Sus scrofa: one gene and its partners. The protein of the gene in region 4 interacts with the protein of the main gene of each other region in a pairwise test. Links are inferred from orthologs where the notes say so. Each region holds a gene or a part of one and is shown on either strand. Other genes may lie near its edges.

Region 1 (4,961 bases), on a different chromosome or scaffold from region 4:
TGGGCATACCCGGCCCCAGGCCCTCCCATGGCTGCCGGCAGCAGGAGGGGGAGCTAACTGTTGATTCTGCTCCCTTTAATAACCATCCTGCGTGTGTGGCTGACGCAGCAGCAGGCTGCTGCTGACGGAGAGTTGTATGGGGGGAGCTGTGGCATGGGGGAGGAGGTGCAGAGACAAGGCTGCCATGAGTCATGAGCTGCTGCCTGGGGAAGGGGATCCTGAGCCAAGGAGGTGTCCCAACGATCCTGTTACAGGAGTCAGCGTCCATGCTCAGGTCCCTACTGCATCAGCTAGATCCAGAGCCAGACTCTGTCACTATGGTGTGACAGAGTCTGGCTCCTGGAGTGGGACTGGAACTTTTCTGGGGCAGGCAGCAAAGCAAAGCATGGGTCTCTGCTCTAAAATCCCCCTGTTTTTATGCAGAGGGTCTGCCCTTTTAAGACTTTCTAGGGATATAGCTTGGGCCTCTGGTCTGGGCAGGCAGGGGTCTACACTAGCATTTTGTTGTTGTTAATTTTATGCCTGCACCAGCAGCAGATGGAATTTCCTCAGCCAGGGATTGAATACCTGCCACAGCTGCAACAGTGCCAGATCCTTAACCCACTGCACCAGGCAGGAGATGAAACCCTCGCCTCAGCAGGCAACTCGCTACCCTTAAGCAGCTGTGCAAGCTTTTTCCACCCCATGGAGGGTTCTGCGACACAGAAGGTAGTGTAACCAAGGCCTGGGCAGGGTGAAAGTGGTGGCCGTGAGAGGGGCTCCCATAAAGAGGGCATGGGGATCCAGAGGAGCAGCCCTGGGGGTAAAGATCCCTGCAAACCTGGTTCTCCTGTTGCAGAGGCCTCCGGATTCGGACTTTCATACAGGAAAAAGATTCAGGGGGAGGAGCCAAGGGAGTGCAGAATAGTGTTGGGGGGGGTGCTGGAGCACGTGATTAAGGGGAGGCGGGGGCTGAGCTGAATGTTGAGGTCCAGTGGGACTCAGGGCTGCGCCCAATTGTGGGTTTGAGAGGCCAGGACAAGGTCAGCCAGCCATCTAGTGCTGGGATGCACAAAAGGGTCTGGCCAGCTGACTGGGGGTGTGGGCGTTGCACTAGACGGAGTGAAGTCAGGATGCAAGTTGGGATTTGTAGGCAAACTGGGTTGGGTGAAATTGGGGTACCCCAAAGTTGTAAAGTAGGAAGAATGGGATCATGACGAATATTTTTGGGAGGGCTTTGGGGCCAGTCACGTTAAGCGGGACATTCAGGAGCATTGGGTTCTGGGCACTCTGGGGTGTCGGTTACACGTTGGCAAATATATAAGAACTGATGTCAGGATTCATCAGTTGGGGTGTCTGAGAGCTGATCCTCAGGTGCGTATGGGGATCTGGCTGAGGTCCTATGTGGGCGATTATTGGAGCACTGCAAAGGACGGGGTTGCAGCGGCCAGGGAGCTTTCCCAGGAGGAAGCAGCAGCCTGAACCCCTTTTGTTCCCCGCCGCAGGCCAGGGACTGGCACGCGGAAGTGGGTCAGCTCCGCCCAGCAGCGCGCTGGCCCCGCCCCCCGTCATGGTCTGGAGACTGCAGACCATGCGCATCCCCGCCAGGCACTTTGACCCCCGCCAGCACGCGGGAGGGGGCGGGGTCGGCACAGGCCCAGCCCCCCAACTCATAAATGTGAGGCACAGCCACGCCCTCAGGGGCCCTGGATTGGCCGACTCGGGGAGGGGGGGATGGGGGCGGGCTTAGGGGGGGCGGGTCCCAGCGGCAGCGTACAAAAGGCCGTACCCGGAAACTGCCCCCCCTCATTCGCGCGTTAGAAGGCTCAGGCCGTTGTGCTGTGCTGTCTTCCCGCCTGCGCCAGGGACCTGCCCAACTCAGTGGTGAGGGCCCTGGCGGTACCGGCTCCGCGGGCCCGGGGCGGCGGGCGGCCAAGGCGGGCCGGCCAAGGCGGGGCGGTGGCAGCACGCCCCTGGGCGGGGGGCGGTACCGGGGCGGGTCCGGGGTGGAGTCCGCTCCGCCGGCGGAGAGGGGTTGCGGAGACCGGGCCGTGCCGCGGCCGGAGGACGTCCTCCGCGGGCTAGAGCGCCGCGAGCGGGTCACCGCCGTAAAATGGCGGCCGCGAGAGCGAGGCTGCGCCCAGCGAAATGGCGGGAGCCCCGGGTACCCGGATGGAGTGGCGCAAGCCGCAGGCGGGGCGCATGCGCGGGGGCGGGGCCGGGGCTACTCCCCTCTTTCCTGTTGGAGTTGTGTGAGGGCGGCACATCATGGGTGCCGCCCACTCTCCGATCCCCAGGTTTGGGCCCAAACTTGCAAGGGGTTGCAAGGCTGCGGGTCGTCTTCAGGCCTGGTTTTGGAGTCATTCAGCGCAGGCCCCTTTCCTGTAAAGGGTCGCTTTAAGTCAGCACCTCCCCACATCCCGCTCCTTTTTAACATCATAGCACCCTACAGTAGACCAAGCACTTTGCCGCCCCTGTATAATAGAGAGGGTTAGAAGTTAGCTCCCTCCCCACCCCCCGACATGTTAGCAAAAGACAGAAGCCAGTGTGCACTCAGCCGGTGGCAGTGGAGATTGATGCCTTCCTTCATTGTCCAGCCCTAAACGTCCTGAGAGGGTGTCAGCGTAGCTGGAGTTTTGGGGTCCCAAATCCAGGCAGCACTGAAGAGTGCTTGCTGCAGAACCGCGGTCTGGCCCTAGCCTTCCGGGAGCCCCCAATTTCGGGAGTGGAGTTGGCCCAAGCACAGAAAAGGGGCAAGGGGGAGTGATAAAGGAATCAAGGGCTTGTTTGAATTAAGCCCTAGGTATGAGCTTGGGATGGTTAAAGGGCACAAAAGCAATTTTCCAATGTTTGTCCCAGGAGCGTGTGTTATTTGTCTAAAGTAAAAAACGGCGAGGGGGTGATTCTCCCGGCCCCTGCAGGACCTCTGAGGATTTCAGTGGTGTTTGCCACAGGTGACCATGGCATCAGACGAGGGCAAACTTTTCGTTGGAGGGCTGAGCTTTGACACCAATGAGCAGTCGCTGGAGCAGGTCTTCTCAAAATATGGGCAGATCTCAGAAGGTGAGGCTGGTTCCAGATTGGCTGGCAGCTGAGCAAGGCCGCTCACAGGGAGAGCTGGGTACTGACCTCAGACCTCTCCCTTGCACAGTGGTAGTAGTGAAGGACAGGGAGACCCAGCGATCGAGGGGCTTTGGGTTTGTCACCTTTGAGAACATTGATGACGCCAAGGACGCTATGATGGCCATGAACGGGAAGGTGAGAGGCGGCTGTCCTGGGGTCTAGAAGGTCCGGGCTGCAACCTGAGTGCAGGAGGTGCGGGGGCTAACCATATCGACTTCTGGTCTCCAGTCTGTGGATGGGCGGCAGATCCGGGTTGACCAGGCCGGGAAGTCATCTGATAACCGATCCCGTGGGTACCGAGGTGGCTCCTCGGGGGGCCGGGGCTTCTTCCGTGGGGGCCGAGGCCGGGGCCGTGGGTTCTCCAGAGGTGAGTGCCACTTGCAGGGAAGAGGTGGGGGCACTGCTTCAAGAGCTGACACTCACTTCTTGTCTCTGTATAGGAGGAGGGGATCGAGGCTATGGTGGTAGCCGGTTCGAGTCCAGGAGTGGGGGCTATGGCGGCTCCAGGGACTACTACAGCAGGTGAGGGTGGTGGGCCCATCTAGGGGCCAAGGGTGTCTGCCTGGATGCTGGCATGTGGGCTGCTCTAAGTAGCCTAAGGTACCGTCCAGCGCCCACCCATGTCCTTCCTACAGCCGGAGTCAGGGTGGCAGCTATGGTGACCGGAGCTCAGGCGGGTCCTACAGAGACAGCTACGACAGTTACGGTAAGTGGCGCTCTGAGGGCCTGCAGTGGGAGCACAGTGAGCCTTAGTGCCCTTTGTGGGCAGCGCTCAGACCTGCTCACTGCTTGCCCACAAGGTCCAAGACTGCCCTCCTGGGTCTTGGTGCCAGCAGCCATTTCTACCACAAACATAATCGTGAAACTAGATTGACCAAGAAGGAAAGGGAGAGCGAGGGCCCACGGAGCAGGCAGCATAAGTGCATGTGGGCCTGCCGTCGCCCGCCACCCTCGGCCGTGGGGGGGTTGGTTGCCCCCGAGGCCGCAGGGCTGAGCCCCCAGGTCTGGGCCCGGGCGTGGAATGCTGCGTCCTGTCGCGTGCTTCAGTGCCTTTACACTGTGCCTGCTTCTTCTTCTCAGCTACACACAACGAGTAAAAATCCTGCTCAAGATCGTCCTTCCAATGGCTGTATATTTAAAGATTTTGGGAGCTCCGCTGAATCGTTAATGTGTAGTGAATCCACCTCCTTGTACCCACTTTTGTAGTCTTATCAGTTCCTATCTTGTCAAACACAGCCTGACTGCTTCTGACCCCAGATGGCCTCATTATTACACTTTTCTTTTTAAAGAAGTGCCATCTGTTTTTGAGGATTTTGAACATGTTTTGCAAAGCACTTCAGGTTTTACTTTTTATCGTGAGCCATGAGCTTTTTAGAAAAATCATTGAGGGTTGCGAGAGTTTGAGTTTGGGTTGTGTTGCCTTTTTTCTCTTTTTCGTGGGGTCGGCCCCAAGTAGTTAGGGGCCCCGAGTCACTTGTCTTTTGAGTCTGAACGGACTCTGAATCCGCTCTTTGTCGGAAGCTGAGCACACTGTGGCTTTTTTTCAGCTCCGTGTAATGTTCCTGAGCGTAGCATGGTATGGTAGGACCGGGTGGCGGCAGAGGTGCCCGGCTGCCTGGCCCCACCGCCCCTCTGTACTGTATCATCCACGGTAGACTTGCAGACGTCCCAAGAGTTTCTTGAAAATGTTTATTTATATTGTCTTTTTTTTTACTGGAAGACGTGTGCATATGTCATCGATGTTGTATTTGAAGTGGCTAAGGAATTCTTGTATGCAGTTTTCTTTGGCTTCACGAAGCCGATTAAAAGCCCGTCTGAATGAACCTGCTCTGACCATCTCCCTTTGATCACACCACACT
Region 2 (4,860 bases), on a different chromosome or scaffold from region 4:
TGCAGGGGAGGTGGGGGGCGCAGTCCCTTCGGCGCCTGCGCCGCCCAGACCCCGGGAAACCCTCGGTAGCGCCCCCCCCCGGTCGCAGGCCCAACACCCCAGTCCCCGCCTCGCTGTGATCCTGGAGACTCCTCCCCAGCCCACCTGAGCAGCAGCTCCGCCCCGAAGGGCGCCTCGTGGCCGGCGATCAGGTCCCAGACCTGTGCTATGTGGACGCGCTCTTGGGCGCTAAGCATGACGCTGGCCTGGGGCGCAGTCGGGGCCGCGCCCGCCTCCCCGGCCTCCTTATACAGCACCCCCTCCCGGTGCCCCGCCCGCCCTTATCTGCCGCAGCGCGGCGGGCACTGGGAGACCCTGGGCCGGCGTGGGGAAACACCACTGGCCCAGGACCCCGCCGTGGCCGCGGGGGCCTCGGCGGTGGAGATCCCGGTCACCGGCATGGAATCACGCCGTGGCGGGGTGGGGGTGCTTAGCTGCAGAGTTTTGGGGGATCCGAGCAAAGTGGCTGCTCCTCCTGAGGGAGCCGCTGGAGGGATGGGAGAAAGATCGCGGGCCAAGGTGGCCAGGAGGTATCAAGGGTCCCCGCAGCGCGTGACCGATGACCATAAGCATTGAGGAAAGTGCCCTGAGTCTCAGCGCGTACCCAGTGCGCTGAGCGAAGCCACAGACTGGGCTGGGCGACTTGAGAGGCGGGAGAGTTTCTCGCACGCAGGTTTGACCTGAGGAAGCAGAGTAGGCGGTCCTGGGCTACTCTGCCCCCTCCCGCTGCGACTCTGGGTCCCGCAGGACCAAGGACGCCTGAAGCACCCTTGGAGTGGCCTCCAGGCCGGGGGTAACAGCAGGGACATCCGCATTCGGGCGAAGCCCCCTTTGCTCCCTCGCATTCTCCTTTCCTTCCCCCAATACCAAGGACGCAGGACCAGGCTACCTCGGTCTCCATTCGTTTATTTGAGAGTCCCGGGTGAAAACGTGGGAGGGCTCCAGGGAAAGGGAGGGGTCACAGCGTGTCTGGGGGGACTGGCGGCGGCCTCAGCGGTACTTCTCGGTCAGGACGCCGGACACGATGGTCAGGAACTTGTCCCAGGCGGCGTGGGCTTCGGCCGTTAGGTCGGCGGGGAAGTGCGAAGCCAAGGTGACCAGCAGGCAGTGGGACAGGAACTGGGGGCGGGGGGGGGCGGTGTTCAGCCAGGGAGGGGCGGGGCCTGCGGCAGACCACGCCCCGCCCCCGCCCGCGCCCACCTTGAAGTTGACCGGGTCGACGCGCAGCACGTAGGCGTGCAGCTCGCTCAGCTTGGCCAGGGCGGCCGACACATTGTCGATGCTCTTGACCGCTTCGCCCACGGCCGCCAGCACCTTGGAGCCGTGCGCGCGCAGCTGCGCCGAGCCCGGGTTCAGGTCGAAGTGCGGGAAGTAGGTCTTGGCCTGGGGGTAGCTGGCGAAGAGCCTGCGGCGCCCGCCGGGAGCGGGCGTGAGGCCGACGCCCGCGGCTCGCACGCTTCGGCGCGGGCCTGGTCAGCGGCCCGGTGCCCAGAACGTCGAGTGTTCAATGAGGACAGTGTCGGCCGTGCGGGCCGTGCGGGCCGCCCCTGGCTGCGTGCAGCCCGGCGCCTGCTCGCCCTCCCTGCCCTGGGGTCCAGACCTGGGCGGGTGGGCGCGCTCGCTCGCTCTCTCATTCGTTCCTTCACTCACGCATTCGTTCCTTCACTCACTCGTTGGGTCAGCTGCTTGCGGAGACCCGCGTGCCGGGCGGGGGGCGGCGGGGAGGGGAGAGTCAGGGTCCTACGCTCGTCCCCCCTCCGCCTTCGACCCCTCTCCCAATTCTCTGGCCGCGTCCACCCTCCTCGCCGCTGCTCATGCTGTCGCTGCTCCCTGGCCCCTGTCCTCCCTGGCCCTCGTTCCTCGCCCCTGTGCTCCCTGGCCCTGCTCACTGACCCCTGACCTCGGTGACCGCGCTGTCACCTCCTCCCAGGCTCCGCGCCGGCCCCGCTGGCGCTCACCTCTCCAGGGTCTCCGTGCCGATGGTGTCCGCCTGGCTGGAGATCTTGCCCCACATGGACGTGATAATTGTCCTCTCGGCCTTGGTCAGAGACATGGTGGCAGCGGCGGGTCTGGAGCTGGGCGCGCTGAGAGCTGGCGTCGGTGGTGCTGGGCCCCCGTGGTCCCCTTATATACGGGCAGCCAGGGTGGGGGCCAGGCGGTGGTCAGGGGCTGGGAGAGGGGAGGGGGCTCTTATCAGAGGCAGTGACCCTGGGGTGAGGGGCTATCATGCTGGCCACCCCTGCTGGGCCTTAGAGGGGGCGGTGGCCACAGCCTGACCAGACTCGAGGGGAGATAGGGGCCCAGCCAGCCCAGAAGGTCATCCTGCATCTGCAGCCCAGCTCTGCGCTGTCCTGTGCGGTTCAGAATCACAAAGGGGGAGAAGCCACAGGAGCAGGGCCAGCACACCCTGGTCGCCTGGCCTGTGCCTGTGCCGCCTGCATCACCATGGGCAGACCCAAAGGTCACCTGCCAGCGCCTGCTCCTGGCTCTGGGATCCCTGTGCTTCCTCTAAGAAAGCAGTAGTTTTGCCCAGCGGGCCCTGAGGAGGGAGGTGCTGACTGGGTCTCTTCCCTAAAAGCTGGAGGAGGTGGTAGGTCAATAAAGGAGGATCCTTCTAGTTCGTGCTTTTGGGGCCTGCAGTGTTGCTCGTCACATCATAATTTAAGCATAACGAGGCAGTTGAGATAAAATGTGGAACTAAAACCTGAAAAAAATCCAACCATAATAGCAATAATAATTGCAATGAGGCAGTATGCCTGCTAATTTTATCTCAGCACACATACAATGGACTTTTTTTAGTGCACTGCTTTGTGAATTTTGACATGTGTATAGATGTGTGTAACCCCACAGAAATTAGGACACACAACAGCTCCATCACCCCACGAGCTCCCTATGCTGCCCCTTTGCAGTTTCACCCTCCTCTATCCCCTAAACTCTGGCAGCCACTAAAATTTTGTAAAGGAGTTCCCATCGTGGCTCAGTGGTTAACGAATCCGACCAGGAACCATGAGGTTGCAGGTTCGATCCCCGGCCTTGCTCAGTGGGTTAAGGATCCAGCACTGCCGTGAGCTGTGGTGTTGATTGCAGACACAGCTCGGATCCCGAGTTGCTCTGGCTCTGGCCTAGGCCAGCGGCTACAGCTCTGATTCGACCCCTAGCCTGGGAATCTCCATATGCTGAGGGAGCGGCCCAAGAAATGGCAAAAAGACAAAAAAAATAAGATAATAAAATAAAATTTTGAAGTTCCTGTTGTGGCGCAGTGGTTAACGAATCCGACTAGGAACCATGAGGTTACGGGTTTGGTCCCTGCCCTTGCTCAGTGGGTTAAGGATCCAGCATTGCCGTGAGCTGTGGTGTAGGTTGCAGACGCGGCTCGGATCCCGCGTTGCTCTGGCTCTGGCGTAGGCTGGAGGCTACAGCTCCGATTTGACCCCTAGCCTGGGAACTTCCATATGCCGCGGGAGCGGCCCAAGAAATGGCGAAAAGACCAAAAAAGAAAAAAAAAAATTTGGAGTTCCCGTCGTGGCGCAGTGGTTAACGAATCCGACTAGGAACCATGAGGTTGCGGGTTCGGTCCCTGCCCTTGCTCAGTGGGTTAACGATCCGGCGTTGCCGTGAGCTGTGGTGTAGGTTGCAGATGCGGCTCGGATCCCTCGTTGCTGTGGCTCTGGCGTAGGCCGGGGGCCACAGCTCCGATTCGACCCCTAGCCTGGGAACCTCCATATGCCACGGAAGCGGCCCAAAGAAATAGCAAAAAGACAAAAATAAATAAATAAAAATTAAAAAAAAAAAATTTTGTCAAGAACATCCTGTAAGTGGGATCATACAGCACTGTGCCTTTTTTTTCTTTTTTCTTTTTTTGTCTTTTTAGGGGTGTACCCACGGCATATGGAAGTTCCCCGGCTAGGGGTCAAACTGGAGCTATAGCCACTGGCCTACGCCACAGCCACAGCAACACCAGATCTGAACCCATCTGTGACCTGCACCACAGCTCACGGCAACGCCAGATCCTTAACCCACTGAGTGAAGCCACAGATCAAACCTGCGTCCCCAGGGATGCTAGTCAGATTTGTTTCAGCTGAGCATGATGGGAACTGCACAGCACTCCGCCCTAAAGGACTGGCTCCTTTTACTTGGCCTGGTCCCCTTGAGATCTGTGCCTGCCGTTGCATTGCGTTGGTAGCTGGTTTCTTTCCATTGCAAAGTGGATACCCGCCGTGTCGGTGTTCGTGCACCTCTGACTCCCACTCGGACCCCCACTGTCCCACTTCGGCGCTGCTACCAACAGCGCTGCCGTGAGCATTCTTGTGCAGGTCTTGATGTGAACATACATTTTTAATGCTCTGGGATAAATACCGTATGTAAGAGTAGGATTGTGGGTTCATGGGCTGAGTGTATGTTTGACTTTATAAGAAGTTGGCTTTGCAGGTCCTGTCGTGGCGCAGCTGAAATGAATCTGACTAGGAACGATGAGATTGCGGGTTCGGTCCCTGGCCTCGCTCAGTGGGTTAAGTATCCGGCATTGCCGTGAGGCTGCGCGGTAGGTCGCAGACACGTGTCAGATCCCGAGTTGCTGTGGCTATGGTGTAGACCGGCGGCTGTAGCTCCAATTTGACCCCTAGCCTGGGAACCTCCGTATGCTGCAGGTGCAGCCCTAAAAAAGCAAAAAAACAAAACAAAACAAACCCAAAACAAAACACACACACAACACACACACACAAGAAGTGGGCTTTATCGTTTTGCCTTCCACTCGGCTGTGAGGGAAAGTCCTAGTTGAAAGTCCTAGTGGCCCTGCACGTTGTCACTATTTTCACACGTTAG
Region 3 (5,201 bases), on a different chromosome or scaffold from region 4:
TATTAGGTAACCCCCTTGACCTCAGTGGCTGTCATTGACCCCATCTCATTACTAAGTGCTTTTCACACATTCAATCCCCATTTAATTCTTCGAACAATCTCATGAGATCCGTGTTATCATTATTCCCCCTATTTTACAGATAAGGAAACAGGTGGAGGCCAAGCATCTAACTTTTCACGTCTCCCTTGAGGCACAGACACTGTGCATTTTCTTACATCCGAGCTGCACTGTCTTGTCTGTGGAAACTCCCACCTGCTTCTACCCAAAGGTCCTCTCTGGACCTCTAATGGATCACATTCTAAGTCTCTAACAAGGATGTAAAAAGAACCTGGCCAGGGATCTACATGAGGGTCGCCCTGGCTTGCCCACAAGGCAGTAAGAGAGAGCACAAGCAGTTATGCTGATGAAGCTGTCCCCTGAAAAATCAGGCCCCCAGACAAACAGACTCCACTAACTGATGAGGAAACCAAATGGGAAAGCGAAGCTCAGGTCTGGCCTGCTGGGACTCCAGGGATCTTCCAAGAACCCCTAATCCTCTACGTAGCACTTTGCCTTCCTCCAAGGCCCTGGGCTTGTCATCTCAAGTGCCCTTCATAAAATAACACCTTGAAATAGAAAAGAATTAATATCTAGACTTATGATGAGGAAAATAAAGCACAGATCTGTCTGCAAATAGTGATGACGGCAGAACTAGAACCCAGACTCCTTATGCTCAGGCCACTGTATTTTCCGCTGGGTGAATCCAGTCCCCTGTTGTCCTAACATAAGCTTTTCCCTTCCATCTACCCAGAGTCTTCAAAGGACATTCATCAGCAGAGAAAAAGAGATCCTTTGATGAGCAGGCAACTATGAAAGGCTCCCAGCTCTCTAAAGGGTCACAGACCTTCTGATCTGGCCTCCACAAAACAGAATTTTCATCAGTAGGCATGAAAACTGTCAGACGTGCCATCAGAAGAAGCCTCTGAGCCTGGGGCCTCACAGAGTTCTTACTCTCTGAGCACACAGGTGGGATTTCCACAGCTAGGGATGGTGAGAACATACTTCATTTTGTAAGCCTCCCCATCCTGTAATGTCATGTTCTGAACTGGGCCCCCATGCATAGCACAAAGTCTAAACATCATAATTGATTACAGTGAGGATTTGTACAATTGCCCTGCTAGGTACTTCTTGTGAATTAACACATTCAATCTTCCCACCCGCACCTAGGAAGCAGGTGCTGTTATTACCCTCCATACAGATTAGGAAACTGAGGCCTGGAGAAAGCAGGTAACTTGTTTAGGTCACAGGGCTGCCTACGTTGGAAGCTGGAATCCAAGAGCAGGCACCAGAGCCCATGATCTGCACACCACGGCACGGGGTCTGCACAGCAGGAAAGCCTGCAGCCCTAAGGATGGAGGGTGGGGCCCTCCACCACACTCAATCTCCCCCATTAACTGCCCTAAATACCATCCCTCACCTGCCACTCTGGCACCCCCAACACTGGCTTCAGTACAGATCGCATGTCCCTCCTCTGCTCAGAAGCCCGCTATGGCTCCTCATTGCCTACACGGAAAAAGCCTCAACTTTTTAGTCTGTCCTTCACAAATATGCCTTCAACTAACTCCGAGCATAATCACCCCTCCCATGCACCCCCGCTCAAGGCCAAAGGAGCGCCCGCTCTTCTTTCCTGGATCTTCCCTTCATGTCTCACTTTCACGTCCTAGACCACACTGGCCCCTCCACCTACAGTGGCCTGCTCCATTTATCCATCCCCAGCTTCCCTGAGAAGGGTTTCAATCTGATACCCTCAGATGGAAGGGTCACAGTTAGTGAAGCTTTGAAGTTCGAAAGTTACTGAGTCTGGTTCAAACTTCCCGCTTCATAGATGGAGAAACTAAGCCCCCTTGAGGGCATGGATTATCATTTGTTCTCTGGATGGGGAGCATGCATCTCCACAGCTCTTGGAGCCTAGTAAGTGACTGAGCAAATGTCGAGCCCTCCAGGGCAAGGATTCTCCAGCAGCACCCTTGGGATTCTCTGCACCTAATCACACTTGGCCCTTGGGTCCCCCAACATCAGACCGGCTCAACCCTCACCTCTGGGGGTGGTGCCTGATATCTGCCTGTGTAGCAAGCCACAGGGTGGTTTTTAAATTCACACTTATTTGAAAACCACAGTGAATCTATGGGGATTGCACCACGGGTGCCACTTAGTAGAAAGCGTCCCAGTACCTGAAGCCTCCCTTCCCCCAGCCACCACTTCCGCCCCTGAGCTTGAGGCAGAGGCCTCTGGGAGCTTAGATGGCTGAAGCTGCTGAGGCTGACTTCTTGGATGTCCCCATATAAACGGGCTGGAGCCTTCCTCCCCAGAAGCTCTCTGGCGCTGAGTGAAGGATCCCGCCCTCCAGCCCTATGCCCCCAGCCTGAAGAGCCCTCTGGACGCCCTGCCAAATCAGGGGTCATCTGACCCAGGAGGAACAGGCAGGGGAAGCAGGCAGATGGGTGTCACTTTGGACAGGGGTGGAGGGAGGCAATGAGGGGCCAGGCAAGGCCCAGCCGGGAGAGAGAATCACGCTCCCTCTAAGAGTCCCAGTCTCCAGAGGGGGTGAGGGGTTCCCTGGAATGCTATGAGCCTGACACCCAGAGCCAGGTTGCTAAGTGCTTTGCTCGTCCCCATCTAGGAAACGCATAAGTCCCTGGAGAGAGAGAGGGAAGCCCTGCGGTGGGCAGGGGAGGGAGCAGACAGGTGTAGCCTCCTGGGCAGCATGCCCACCTGCCTCTTCCCTGCCACCCTTTTCCTGCCCAGCTGGCCCCACAGCAGGCCAAAGGAGCCTCTGCACTCTCAAACTTTGAGTCAGTGCTGTGAGCCCATGTCCGCGCCGCTGGCTCCGCAGCATCTTCCCGTGCAGTTCTCCTGCCACCTGCCCTTCACCCTGCTGAGGACCCCATGCCCACACTTACCCACGCCATGCCTCTCCTTGTCAGTTTTGCGCCAGGGGCCCATGGCTGGGCGGGGGGCCTGCAGGCACCTCGAGTCGTCCTGTGGGGAAGCAGCCAGGGGGTGGCTAGGCGCTCTGCCGGGCCCCACTTCCTTCCTCTTTTCAAACTCCCTCTCAGGGCCCGCCCTCTCCTCCCTGGGGCACCCTGCTCCTCCTCCTCTTCCTCCCTCCTCCTTCTGGGCAGAGGCACTGCAGAAGACTAGCCTAGCTGCTGAAAGGCCCCCACACAGCTTAGGGGCCACTCCCAACTTGTCTCCTCCCCAGGTAAGCTGGCAGAAACCAAGCAGGTATCTGGGGCCACCCAGGCCATCATCACAAGTGCAGGATGTCCCCTGGTAACTGAGTCTAGTGATTACATCAAGCTCCCCCCACCTAGCAGGAGCTTTGGTGTCAGATATGGGTTCAAACTCACATTCTGATGTTTAACAGCTAAGCAACTAGACATTATTTCATCTTTCTAAGCTTCCATTTTTCCATCTGTAAAATGGGATAATGGTACCTACTTCATTTGTTATTGCAAGACTCTGAGAAGACAATGCATGCAGCAGGTGACACACACAGTTACTGTGAGGATTAGAGGAGATAATGCATATAGTTAATATTTGAGTTAAATACCCACCAGGAGGGGAGGTCACTTGTGGGTTTTATCCTTTTGGTGCCACAGACCCATTTGAAAATGTGATAAAAGCTCAGGAAACTCTCCTCTGAAAATATTCAAGCAGAGAATTTACCAACAGTGACAAGAAGTCCAGGATGCTCTAACAGCCAGCCATCATGGGCCTTGGGAAACGAGTCCTAGAGTTAGGCTAAGGGAGACATTTCTCAGAAAATGTTCTGGGAATAGATTCTATCAAGAAGCAAAAATATCTCTTTGATCCACAGCGATAAGACAGAATTAAAGTCTTCCTGAATTTTCTTTATTCATAAGCCTCACTACCCCTTCCTGCCTGACACTAGAGAGTTAATAAGATAGATTAGGCAATATTGCAGCTGACAGGCAGCTATGGCAAACTATTAATTTCATTTTATCTAAAGTTATTCCCTTTTCAGTTTTCTAGCAGCACAAATTGGGTAGTATTTTTTAATAGAGAGCAGTTAAATCAGTCAGGATTCCACCAGAGGACCACAATGGCAGGATATGTATGTGGATTGATTATTGATCGATTGATTAAATTGTAAGGAATTGGCTTATGAGAAAGTGGAGCTGGCTAGGTTAGGTCTGAAATACATGGTGCAGGCCTTTAGGAAATATAGGCTGGAAACTCTCAGGCAGGAGCTGAAGCTGCTGTCCACAGGCAGAATTTCTTCTTTTTCAAGGAAAGCACAGTTGAGGCCTGTCAACTGATTGGATCCTGCCTACGCAGATTGCTGAGGAGAATCTTCACTTCAAATCATCCTGTTGTAGATGTTAATTACATCCACAAAACACCTCCAGAGCAACACCGAGATTGGTGTTCGGTTGATTAATTAGGGTCTATTGTCTCACCAAGTTGATTCATAAAACTAACCATTGGAGCAGTCTTACAAACCAGACTAAACATCAGAGGTTGGTAAACTTTTTCTGTAAAAGATCAGACGGTAGATTTTCCAGTCTTTGCAGACCAAGAGGCAAAATCAAGGATACTATGTAAATACTTATATAACAAGAGAGAAAACAAGTTTCCACAATTTTTATTGATAAAATGCAAAATTTGATATTAATAACTGGGTCTATTCTTCTGTGATACAGTGCTAGAAATGAAAAAAATAAATTTGGGGGAGAGGTCATAGTCTACTCCATTAGAGTTCAAAGTTAGTTTTCTCTTGCAGGAGTTCCCTGGCGGCAGCAGGTTAAGGACACAACATTGTCACTGCTGTGGCATGAGTTCAATCCCCAGCCCACGAATTTCTGCATGCTGTGGGTGTGGCCCAAAAACTGATTGCAAATACTCATCTTTTAATGCTGATCTGTAGTGAAATTTTACATTTCATCTCTGAAAATGTCTTTTACCATAGGTGGTATATAGCAAAGAATTAATCTTGCCCCAGAAGTGGTCTGGTATTTGTCCTCAGCTACCAGAAAGAGATCTCTTAGAAAGTCATGGTTTGCCTGGGGAATTTATGTCACACCTAACAGTCTAAAAATATGATTTACAGAGTTCCTGTTGTGGCTCAGTGGTAATGAACCCGACTAGTATCCAGGAGGATGTGGATTCAATCCCTGGCTTTGCTCAGTGGGTTAAAG
Region 4 (4,431 bases):
CACTTTATTGAGTCCTGGCTGGAATCTTGATGCACACTTGACCCTCAGGAAGTTGATTCATCTCTGAGGACCTCATTCCTCATGTGTTTCTATAAAGTGTGATGGGGGCGCATCGGGGAAGAGGGAAATGTCTTTTTCAATAGAAAGTTGCATTTTTCTTCATGAGCATCAGCCTATCGGCTCTACTGCAGAGATCTAACCAGGCTTATTTTGAGAGGCTGAAATAAGTGTTACAATTCTTATCTCAATGCCACATCTCACAGTGGCGGACCTTATGAAATGCGGCAAGCAGATAGCCCTTCTAACTAGCAGAAAATCAGCTGTGGGAGTATTGAGGCGTGTTGGCACCATCTGATTTAAATTCCTCAGCACTTACATGTAAGCAAAGCAGACTCCTGAGTTGAAAGGCATCTTGCATCCCTGGAGAAGCAAGAAAGAAGGAACGTTAGCTCCACCCACAGGTGCAGATTTGCTGAGTCGAGCTCTGCTTCCCCTATCTGAGAATTGAGCACTAAGAAAAACCTTTTTAATAAAAGTCAAAACTCCTAGTTAGAGAACAATGCTTAGGGAAGTGAAGGTGAATTTCTAGGCTGAAAGGTATTGCTGTTAGAGAGATCTGAGTAGGCGAAGGTTCTGAGGAAAGTGGCTTCCACCTCTGTTATGGATCCTCCATGCGTGGAAATGATGGGCATTTTTAATCAGATAAACCCGTTAACATGGGTCATACAGTTCCTCATATGAAATCAGTAGCAAATTTGCTTTTGTTTATCTAGTTTAGGTGTATTCACATCGCTTTTCTAATTTAACCCACACGTACAACTAAAAAAAAAAAAAAAATGTTTTTTAAAGTTCTACCCTTTGAAATTTACTGCTAGTTTGAGGGGAGAAGAGTTAAGAAAGGTAAAATATAATTAATATTATTTATGTTCTTTTTTTAGAACCACACCCATAGCATATGGAAGTTTCCAGGCTAGGGGTCAAATTGGAGCTTCAGCTGCCAGCCTATGCCACAGCAACACCAGACCTGAGCCGCATCCGTGACCTACACCACAGCTTAACGGCAACGCTGGATCCTTAACCCACTGAGCGAGGCCAGGAGTTGAACCCACATCCTCATGGATACTAGTCGGGTTCTTTACCACTGAACCACAATGGAAACTCCCTCTTTAAGTACATTTTTAACCACATTTTGTTTCTTTGAAATCCTAAAAAAATGCAAATCTCGTTGAAAACTGAGCTTGAGTCCCAATTTTGCGCAAGTTCACTAAAGTCTTTTAAACTCAATTTTCTCAATATTTCCTAATGTGAAATATGTGAACATTGTGTGAGGTGGTTGTGAGTTTAGCAATGACATGTGTTAAAGACCTAGCACACATTAGCACAGTGCATGGATCGTGTGCTGATTTGCTCTGCAGATTACTAAATTAACCAGTAACAACTTAGATAAAGGATGACAGAATCTGCTCCAAGAGAAATCCATTGTCAAGTTAAGCTGCAGGTGTGTAACTCATGCAGAATCAAGGCCAACAGAATGCTTAACCACCAACCCTTTAATGTGCTCCTCCGTCTTGACCAGGGGGAGGTGACAAAGGATAGCGAGATGCTGGGTAGAAGCCAGATGAGAATCTGGGCCAGTGGGAACTGGGCTGGGGAGGAAGCCTTGGGTCTGCTCATGTTCATGAGGAGCAAGTAACCTTTCACCACTTCTCCAAAAGTATCTAGAAGATCCTGGTTTTCTTAAAGAACAGTGGTCACCTGGAGTTTATCTGCAAGTGATTATTTGTCAGGCACAAAAATAATCCTTTTCTTCCTGTGGTGTACAGTGAAGAGTTAATGGCATTTCTGTAACTTCTTTTCAGACTTAGCATTTTCATTTAGCTGATTAAAATGTGGTGTAGATGATAATTATGCCAAGTTTTTTTTTTAATCATTCAAACACTCAGAAATGATTTTAAAAATCTTTAAATGGCTTGTACCAGATTTTCATTTCCCAAAGGATTTCTAGTTAGGGAAAATTTGCTTAGATTATGCCCTTTTGTCATCTTTTCAGTAAATGTTAAATCAATGCAAAATGAGTAGATTTGTATTTCTAAAAATAACCTCTTTCACAGGAAGAAGAACTAAGGAAGAGTGGAGAAGCCAAATATGCCCACTTGAGCGATGAACTTCATGTATTAATTGAAGTTTTCGCTCCACCTGGGGAAGCTTATTCACGTATGAGTCATGCACTGGAAGAGATTAAAAAATTCCTGGTTCCTGTAAGTGTTTTTCATTTTTTACAAAGATGTTTCTTATGAGTTTCTATTATAAAATGTGCCTTTGATCTTCACTGACTTTTTAGATGGAAATTTATGCTGCAGACTTCTTCTTTATAGAGTTGATATGAAGGTAAAAATAAAAAAGAATACCAAAACACTCAGCACAGGACCTGACATGTTGCCACATAATGACGGTTTGGCAGCAGTATTTGTCTCAACTGCATTCTGTGCCCTGCGCTGTTCATGGCCATGAAGAATAAGAATAAGAGAGTTAACACATAAACACAAATATGTAACTGAAGTTGCGTACCTTTCTCTTGTGTCTAATGACTTGGTAGTTGACACATATTATTCATAATTTTTAATAGAGAAATATTTTCAGGTACAGTGGGAGGGAAAAGAGATTGGATGTGTAATATTTGTAACAAGACGATGTGTTGTTTGAAACTATCAAATGTGCTTTTATGTCATAGTATGCCAGGTGCTGGCTCATTATAAAATATAATATAAAATACCAATATTAATAGAATTGGACATTTGTTGACGTCATGCAAAAAATTGGAAAAATGAACTCATTGTGCTAAATGAGAGAAGCAGAGAATGTTCATTTAGTAAGGCAGCAAATTCAGGGATGCACACTGAATAGAATTCTCTACTGATTTTCTAAGAAATAGAAGAACGAAGCTTTCCTAAAGGTTGACAATTTCGCATTCTAGGAAGAGGTTGTTTAAATAGAAATCTTGGCACCAGGCTTAGAGCTGGGAATAAGATAATTGGAAGAGAATGCTGAGTACGGTTTTTGGGAGTGCTCTGGCAGACCAGGTCCTCAGCAGAGAAAGAGAATAGCTAAGCTTAATCCGTGTGATGAAGAAACACTGCAGTTTTCTAAACTAATTAATGAGCTCAGAGGAAGTCATGAATCTTACAGTTCATTGGTTGGCCCGTGATTTGAGAATGGGGAAATAAACGAAAAAAACAGAATTCCAGAATGGAAAAGTGTCAAAATCAAACAACGTAATCTATGTGTAGGCCCAGTTTAAAATTCTTCTGTCAGGAAAAGGTTATAGAATAACCCCATACTGCTCTGATTATTCCATAACTTTATCTGCACACCTTATTATCTAGTGTAGTTTGAATACCTCTCTAAATAGACCCTGTATTTCTTAAGAATGAAGATCCTGTGTTCTCTACACGTTGATGCTGTTGGTTACACATTTGTACTGTATTTAGCTCAGACCAGACCTCTGATGATATAGGTATTATAGGAAAAAGCTACACCGTCTAGACTAGTAACTCATTTTGTGCCTGTAGACGAGTCAGTTAAATTCTCAGAACTTCAGCTGGATTCCCTGATGGCTCAGTGGGTTAAGGATCTGCTGGGGTCACTGCTGTGCCACAGGTTGCTGCTGTGGCAGCTTCCATCCCAGGCCCAGGAACTTGTGCATGCTGCCAGTGCAGCCAATTAAAAAAAAAAAATTAGCTGATTCATCTTTACAAAGAAGCTAAGGAGATAATAATAACTGAAGGGCTTCTGTCATAGTTATTGTGACTATTAAATGGGGTAATGCATATAAAAAGGCATAGAAAATTGTAAAGCACTATATAAATTGATGTTTTAAATCTTTTTTATTATTACAAGTAGATAAAAACCATCTTGGAATGATGGAGGTGAACTGTATAAGAGAAAATCCTATTTCATTGCTACCCAGATTTGAGACATAGGCTGTAGGCTAGGTTAACCCTACTTTATTATAAATCCCAGTAGTATATCTCACTTACTCTCTTCTTAGACCTCTTGATACTTGTAATAATTTCCTTATGAAATATATACTCCACGAGACAGGGCTGGCAGCCTGGCACCGTGTTTGATAGCCTGATTGAGGGACTGGCTCATTAATTGGTACTGGGCATGATGCAGAGGGTTCATAGCCACCTGGTGAGGTCTGGGAAACTCTCCAGGGTGCTCTCCCTATAAAGATCCAGATGAAGACTGAAACCCCCACTCTAGCTGGCGTGACCTGCTCCTGCAGCCCCTCCGGTTACCGCTGCCCCAGCTGCCCCCTCCCTGTGCAGCCCCACCTCCCAGGTTCACCCTTCACTAAGGACTTTTGAAGCCTCTCCTCCAAACTGGGCCACAGGCCATTCCCTTGTCACTCAGCTCTCAGCCCACAGT

The links.
Region 1: the proteins of KHDRBS2 (region 4) and CIRBP interact in binary tests that used the Homo sapiens proteins (3 or more experiments, as listed by UniProt). The two-hybrid records come from large-scale screens. The link is inferred for Sus scrofa from reciprocal best matches to the Homo sapiens genes KHDRBS2 and CIRBP.
Region 2: the proteins of KHDRBS2 (region 4) and HBZ interact in binary tests that used the Homo sapiens proteins (3 or more experiments, as listed by UniProt). The two-hybrid records come from large-scale screens. The link is inferred for Sus scrofa from reciprocal best matches to the Homo sapiens genes KHDRBS2 and HBZ.
Region 3: the proteins of KHDRBS2 (region 4) and DOCK2 interact in binary tests that used the Homo sapiens proteins (3 or more experiments, as listed by UniProt). The two-hybrid records come from large-scale screens. The link is inferred for Sus scrofa from reciprocal best matches to the Homo sapiens genes KHDRBS2 and DOCK2.

The regions. Positions count from the first base shown.
Region 1 is NC_010444.4:77,191,146-77,196,106, reverse strand, and holds the start of CIRBP (cold-inducible RNA-binding protein), read left to right. Parts: upstream 1-1,733; 5' UTR 1,734-1,863; intron 1,864-2,838; exon of another isoform or gene 2,839-2,933; 5' UTR 2,934-2,939; coding exon 2,940-3,042; intron 3,043-3,130; coding exon 3,131-3,237; intron 3,238-3,330; coding exon 3,331-3,469; intron 3,470-3,542; coding exon 3,543-3,624; coding exon of another isoform or gene 3,625-3,628; exon of another isoform or gene 3,629-3,737; coding exon 3,738-3,855; 3' UTR 3,856-4,182; coding exon of another isoform or gene 4,183-4,199; 3' UTR 4,200-4,961. UniProt on the Homo sapiens protein: Cold-inducible mRNA binding protein that plays a protective role in the genotoxic stress response by stabilizing transcripts of genes involved in cell survival. Acts as a translational activator.
Region 2 is NC_010445.4:41,489,830-41,494,689, forward strand, and holds HBZ (hemoglobin subunit zeta), read right to left. Parts: upstream 3,055-4,860; 5' UTR 2,093-3,054; coding exon 1,998-2,092; intron 1,445-1,997; coding exon 1,240-1,444; intron 1,159-1,239; coding exon 1,030-1,158; 3' UTR 929-1,029; downstream 1-928. Other genes in the region: HBM (hemoglobin subunit mu), read right to left, coding at 145-236. UniProt on the Homo sapiens protein: The zeta chain is an alpha-type chain of mammalian embryonic hemoglobin.
Region 3 is NC_010458.4:54,245,481-54,250,681, forward strand, and holds the start of DOCK2 (dedicator of cytokinesis protein 2), read right to left. Parts: upstream 3,229-5,201; 5' UTR 2,983-3,228; coding exon 2,940-2,982; intron 1-2,939. UniProt on the Homo sapiens protein: Involved in cytoskeletal rearrangements required for lymphocyte migration in response of chemokines. Activates RAC1 and RAC2, but not CDC42, by functioning as a guanine nucleotide exchange factor (GEF), which exchanges bound GDP for free GTP.
Region 4 is NC_010449.5:27,615,595-27,620,025, reverse strand, and holds part of KHDRBS2 (KH domain-containing, RNA-binding, signal transduction-associated protein 2), read left to right. Parts: intron 1-2,111; coding exon 2,112-2,258; intron 2,259-4,431. UniProt on the Homo sapiens protein: RNA-binding protein that plays a role in the regulation of alternative splicing and influences mRNA splice site selection and exon inclusion. Binds both poly(A) and poly(U) homopolymers. Phosphorylation by PTK6 inhibits its RNA-binding ability.